2 linked regions of the Arabidopsis thaliana genome follow. The protein of the gene in region 1 interacts with the protein of each later gene in a pairwise test. Each region holds a gene or a part of one and is shown on either strand. Other genes may lie near its edges. The genes, in order: AT5G42530 and WSIP2.

The links.
Region 2: the proteins of AT5G42530 (region 1) and WSIP2 interact in a two-hybrid assay, tested with the Arabidopsis thaliana proteins (one study listed by BioGRID).

The regions. Positions count from the first base shown.
Region 1 is NC_003076.8:17,004,197-17,007,456, reverse strand, and holds AT5G42530 (uncharacterized protein), read left to right. Parts: upstream 1-1,946; 5' UTR 1,947-2,118; coding exon 2,119-2,224; intron 2,225-2,399; coding exon 2,400-2,509; 3' UTR 2,510-2,719; downstream 2,720-3,260.
Region 2 is NC_003074.8:5,370,384-5,374,321, forward strand, and holds the start of WSIP2 (WUS-interacting protein 2), read right to left. Parts: upstream 1,907-3,938; 5' UTR 1,782-1,906; exon of another isoform or gene 1,550-1,781; 5' UTR 1,487-1,549; coding exon 1,407-1,486; intron 1,237-1,406; coding exon 1,057-1,236; intron 968-1,056; coding exon 854-967; intron 743-853; coding exon 584-742; intron 500-583; coding exon 322-499; intron 237-321; coding exon 116-236; intron 1-115. UniProt on the Arabidopsis thaliana protein: Transcription corepressor of Zinc finger transcription factors GAF1/IDD2 and ENY/IDD1 in regulation of gibberellin homeostasis and signaling.

The sequences.
Region 1 (3,260 bases):
CGGCGGTAGTGAACGGGAACGGTCACTCTTTAGGTCACACGGAGGAATTAATTTACTTTGATTGTGATGACCTCATAACAGTCCCACACTTGCTATTTCCAAATCGAACCGGATAAATTGTTGGGTTGTGGTTCAAATTGGTTAAACCAGATTCAATCATTTTTTTTATTTAAAAAAAAAAATCTTAAATATTGAAATTAGATATAAATGTATTTGTTTACCCTAGAATTAGAATGTCAAAAATAAGAAAAGCATTTCTTTACCCTATATAATTATGTTAATTTGTTAAAATAAATGGATGGTGGTCATATGTTAAATGGCTAAGTTAAAAAAAAAAAACTTAATGATTTAATCCATATATTTTTAAAGTTGGGGATTAAAATGTTTCAAATTTGAAAATTCATGTTTTTTTTTCTCTTTCATTTACTGGTCTAGTGGATGGATAGTGATCTTTTAGTATTTCTATAAGTATTTTTGGAGTCACTTTTTATGGGTGGGTTAAAAACTTAAAATGCATTTGGGTACATTTGTTACCGACCCGTTAATCTATTTTGTTTATTAAATCTTATTTGGGTTGTTCATATAAAACTCGACTATTTAAAAATATAAATATTTAGAAGATTTGGTTAAGATTTAAAACTATGAATTTTTTATCATCTTTATTAAGAAAAATTGTGCATATATTATGATTCAAAATTGTAAAAACGGACATATATTATCTAGTTGATGAAAATGTGTAAGTTTAACGTCTTACATTGGTTAAAAAATTTAGACAATAAAGAGTTTTTTAGCATGACGGGTTTGGCAAAATGTTAGTTAATAACAATTATAAACTATCCAATATAAATATTTTATAAATAAATACAGTTTGAAATTTTTTATATATATTAAGTTTAAAAAATAAATCATATTGCAATTAAAATCTAGTTAAGAGTAAAAAAAATATAGTTAAGAGTAAAATAAATCAAATATTGCAATTCAATCTTTCTTTTGGAAGAAGCGATTTGCGCATTAAACGTAACTTTATCAGCAACTGACACCGAACGACATAATATATTATGGACGACCAATAGACCAAAATTCAGAGGTCTAGTTTTTTCTTATAAGAATTAATTAAATAATCACACACGATCTTCGTAAATTAGGGAGTGTATCCAAACACACATTTGGAATGATATGTTCTAAAGTATCATGTGTTATTCAATCATGTGTTTAAAAACTCTTTTAAATTCAAAATCAAATTATTGAAAACAATTATTTTAAGAACAGGTTTGATTGTTAATGATTTTAATGTGTTTTAGAAGATTTCTCGAACTTATATATATAAATAAGTACAGTATATATTTATATAAATCATATGATGCGGTATGGTAGGAACATATCGGATTAATGAATAAAAATTATTTGATTGCATTCTACATTTTAAGAAATTTGAAAGGATTTTAAAGTCTTTTGTGATTTAAATTAATTTTGCATATATAGTTACTATAAGAAAATTCAGGATATTATACTTAGTGTTGGTCATAGATCGGATAATCGAAATTTAAAGATATCTGATCTGTTTTTAAATAATCCGAATCTAGATCTGAAATCAAGGATATCCGGATGTAATCCAAGGTTTAATTATATATGTGATCGGTTATTGTCGTCTAACCTTTTAAAAAAAAGCCTATGAAATATGTAAATAATTGTTTGGGAAAATTTTGCTCCTTTAGTTCTAATCTAAAAAATGCTCCCCTAAACTAATTACAGAATATGACGTAGTAAATATAGGATACTAGAAATTTATAAAAAGATAAATAATATGAAGAGAATCCAATGCAATGCACTTGTCCCACAAACCAAACCATGCATGGCGAATTGGTGATTGAAGACTTTTCACTGAATAATACTACCAAAACTTCGAGACTCATAAGTGATACACACAACTAAGTCGTCGATGGCTATAAGCTTTAAGTCTATCGCTAGACTGTCCACAGGTTTCCTAATCTTCTTTGTCTTTTAGCCTTTCTATATTATCCAACATATCTTTAAATTTCTTTAATTGACATCTCCCTAGCCTATATAAAGGCATAAGCATGAGTGGCACTGATAAGCAAAATAAGAGGGAATATTAAGATGACATCTTCTATGGTCTCTTCCATGGCTCTCTTTCTCCTTCTTCTTCTTGTGTTTCCGCATATGGATAAAGCCCTTGGCGCACAAGAGGAAGCCCAGAAACAAAGTGAGTCTTTTAGATGTCCCGAGGTCATTAGTATCATTTTATGTTTATTAGTTAGGTTTATTATTATTAGTTGTGTTTAATTAATATTGATTTTGGTTTGATTTAATGTTTGTCCGCATTTGAATAGACTAATGAGCAGTGAAATGATGAAAAATTGACACTTACCATCCTACAGGGATTCCTCGTTTCAGATGTTCTCCACGAATCCCCTTTTGTACAAATCCAAACCTACCTTCTCCTCCGCCCCACAGGTCTTTCAAAGGCACACTCGAACCTGGTCATTGACTTCACTCTAGCTTCGAATGCGTGTGAACGTGTGCATGTTTCTTACATTGTGCTTTGGTTTGTGGTTTCTATCCTTGTTTATCTTTGCATGTGTTTGTCATATTTTACAGTTTTATCGAACCGTCGCTTGAATAAATAAATTTGCATGTCCTTTTATGTTTAAGACCGCCTCTCTCTACTTACGTTGGATCGTTCAAACATTTCTTAACATTTGGCACTAGAAATCCATCTCTGACAGGCTGAACCACAAAGCCTAGTATATATTCATTAAAAAATAAATGTGAAAATATGAAATATATGGTTAGTTCATTTAAGCCTTTGATGGAATGAATAATGACGACTTCTTCCCAAATCTCACAAGGGACTGATCTAACTTTTTATTTGTCCAAATTATGGGAATGACATTATTTCCCACAATCATTGTCCATCTGGGACCCTTTGTCGGGCCTTACGTAATAGAGCATTTCTCAGCTAAGACAATGACGATTTAACTTAGACTATTATCTTCTCTATTAGTGCCGATCTGCTTTTTCTGATATCGAAATTGTAAAGCCCAAAATTCATACAATGTAATGAGACGAAAACACTGCATATAATGTAATAGTACTCACCAATAGCCACAAACAAGAGCTTCCGAGGTCGAACCATAACAAAAAGCCTAGCAATGTAATCAAACATACATTGAAACACTTCTGTAAACGTAGTAGGAGAAGATTTGTCTTCAGGATGGAAACACCGATATATATATATA
Region 2 (3,938 bases), on another chromosome or scaffold:
AATGATGATCTAAACAAGGGATGGCAAATTACATAACCGTATAAGCTAATATTTGGTAAACTAAATCTCCAACACACATATTTCAGAAGAATAAAATTAGTAGGGACAACATTACCAGCACTGTTGGGGGCACCTAAGCCGATAGGCCCAGCGGAAACAGTAGGGTGTTGTACCGATGGATTAGGCATCCATCCTGCAAGAGATGTTGTAAGAGGAGCTGGTGTTGGCTGAAATGGCTGAACAAGAGCATACAAACTAGCAAAGTTAAATTCATGTGCTAAAAACTAATCCAACAGAAGCTGTAATCTTAGAGCAACTTACACCGTGAGCACCTAATGGTGGGAAGCCTCCAACTTTAGGGACTGAACCCATTAAATGATTAGTTGTAGGGGAAGGAGTGTGTGCACCATTGGGATGCCCACACGTATGGTCAACAAATAGTGTTTTTATATCCGGGTTAGGCCTAGGATTCTTGCAAAGCTGATGTTGCCAGTTCAAACTATGATTCAGCAGAAGCAACGTTCAGTTAGTTGTTCCACCAAAAGAAAAACGGGAGCAAAAGTTAAAAAAACAAAGCTTGTACCTTTGATTTATTAAGGTTCTCAATCTAGAATTCTTCAAACTGGGAAATTGAAGTTTGTCTCGGAAGAGAGGATTTGCTTCAATCAGTTTTTTAAGTTCCCCAAGCATGATACCTCTTGCGGACTTAGTATCTCCATACTTGGAAAGCTGCTCATTTTCCCTTGAATTATTGCAAGTAAATGAAACATCAACACCACAAGCGCATGGTTTATAACAATCCAGTGGTCAATGAAACCATAAAAAAAAAGTGCTAAGAAAGTAAAGAATGTACCTGAAGTTAGTCAAGGTTAAAAGCATGGTAATCTCCTTAAAAAGCTCTTCGTTGAATGTCGAGAACACTTTCAACTCCTTAACAAGAATATCAACCGCCTTGGCATGATCTTTCCTATGGTAAAACAAAAGATGGGAAAACAAATCAATACTCAAAACCACACTTCAATTCAATAAAACTAAACAACACAAGTGAAACTTTACTTGTCAAGTGCTTCAAGGTACTTCTGCTTCCGAATCTCGAAAAATATTTTCATAGAGTATCTATTATCATCAACTTTAGTGAATCCAGAAAGATACTTCTCTACATCATCCCATTCACCAGCTGTTACACTATCTTCAAAGTACCTCATGTTGAAGAAAAAACCAGACTCTTTCTCCAACCTAATTAGTCAAAAAAAATATCCAAAGTTGTAACTGCTTCTGGATTAACATTGAAGAAATAATGCTAAATTACAAAATCAAAATTAATTAATCTTAATCCCTACTTTACTCTAATCCCGACAATCAAAGGAAGAGGGACCGCAATTAAACAATGATATAATATAAATTACCTGTGAACAGTATCTTTGAATTTCTCTTCATCGAGAAACTGAAGTATTAAAAACACGAGTTCTCTGCTGAGTGACGACATATCCTCTTCTTATTGCTCGCTCTCCGAAAGTAACAGATCGATCACAATACCACTCATGAACCACTAATCAAACACAAAGACACAAAGAGAGAATTAGGGTTTTATAAAAGAAAACATCTTCTTCACACCCCAAAAAAGGAAAGACAGATCTAAAAAAAAAAACGAAATCGATCGAATTCGAAAGACGAATCCCCCCAAACCCAGGTGGCACGAGATGTGCACGTGCGAGAATATACGAGAGAGGCTCCCGAGAAAGAGATTAAAGAAAAAAAGGAAAGTTTATAAATATAAATACCTGTTGAATTTTGACTTTGAAGAAGGAGAGAGACAAAGCAGAGAGGAAGAAGAGGAAGAAGAAGAAGAAGAAGAAGAAGACTTTGGAGAAGAGAGAGAGAGAGACGTGGGGGCTATTTATGGCGATAATTTCTGATGCTGTCTCGTTTTCGGAGTTTCCTTTTTTTTTTTTTGGATTTATTGCTTTTTATTTTAATTTATGAGTTTTTATGATTTAATTAATTTGTTTTTGTGTGGTCGTTGGGCTTCTATTTTTTTTAATAGAAGCGTGTATTTTGTAGATAGGAATTTACTCAAAAAGCTTAATCTCCCCACTATAATAAGTAACCTTCGTTTTAATTACTTTTTCTAAAATTTATTTTAATTTAATGTTTTCGTATTTTATTTTAATTTAAGTGACGTATTGATGTTGTTGCGAATCTAGTACAACACTGCTGTCTAATTTAATGCTCTCTCGTTAGGTTTTGAACGTAGCTGGGGATTTTTTTTTGTTTTTCAAACTATACATTAAAGTAGAGTATCTCATAATTGGTTTATTTCTGTTTCTGTATAGAATTTAGTGCCATTATATTATTTTTATGACATCAACTAACCGTCAATTAATATTGCAAATATTTTTTTTATGAATTAATTATTTAAGTAATGGATTTTGAAGTTTTTAATTTAGAGAAGAATAGCAGTAAATCAGATGTGATATTTTTATTTCCAGTTATGTAGTACGCAAATTAATTAAATTTTATTTTCTTCATCTTTTATTGTCAAAAAAACAAATTAAAGGTTTTATGGATAATTTACTTTTGGAAAAATATAAATCTTATGTGGTAACAAATAAGTGAATTTTACAAATGTGTATTCTTTCTTTTTTGTTATAGTAATTCACAGTAAAAAGTGGAGTTTTATTCTATAATACGGTTTGTAACGCATTTCCGTGAATATATTATGCTAATTTGTTAGGAATTTAAGAGATATGGCCTATTCACATGTTTAGTTTTGTTCTATTTATAAAAAAAAAAAAAATCAAAATTTATATTTGTACTTTATTTTTTTTCCCATGGATGTTTTGGCTAGTAATTACTATGCTACTTCAACAGTCCATCCACATTATGGTTCTAGTAGGAGTCATATCAAATCTTCTTACAAGTATTCCTACACCAGTATTGCTTACATTGGTTTGGGCTTTTAGGTCTAGATTATCGGGGGAATTGACTGGCCCAATTGCTAAACATGATTGGGAATCAATTTCGTCCCAAACATGTTTTCCTTGAACAATCACTTTGATGACAATGACACACCCAGACAGTTATCAATGACTGCAATTAATCAGCAAATGGTTCCATAAGCCCATCTGCCCATGTTGGTGAAGAAGCATCACCTCAAATATATAATTTTAAGATGAGAGAGCAAACATTCCTTTCTGATCGCTCTGAATATTTTAGCAATTTACTAAACGTAAAGTTATTTTCATAGCTTTAATTCAAAATTTCTGTAACTAGAGCTAGCAAAGAAACAAAGACTTGTGTTTAATATTATATTTTTGAAGAAGATAGTAGAATCTTCTGTCTATTTGTTTAATATTTGAAACATCGAATAAATGGTTTCAATGAGTTGTCCTGACTCATCAGCCGACCCTTAACAATGACTACAACAACTTCAAATTTTAAAACATCAAGTATCTTCAACAACATACCCTTTCCGTTTTATATTAAATAATTGGTAAAATCCAGCTTATTTATAATTATGTTATTTCTGTATAATACATTACAGAAGAGTAAAACAAAAACTTTAAAACGACACATATAATAAAAAGGAAAAATAAATAAATAGATATGAGAAAAAAATACAGTTGGAACTTAATATATACACTTTTATACAACGGATACTAACGTTCAAAAATTTTATTCTTCTTTTGGTTAAAGTTTTATTTATTGTTTATGACTTTTCCATATCAGCTTCTTTTTTAATACTATATATATATTTTTAAAATTTGTTTATTTTATGCGAGCAAAAAAAAAAAAAAGTGTGCAAAAATAATAAAAAAGAACAAAATAAATAGTCTACTTGTACTTCTGTCTCTCTCTCTCTCTGTTTATCAATCTCACATCGAGACGAAATTAGAGCTACTCAGACTTGTTCTATTAAACTGTTACCTTCTCCAGAC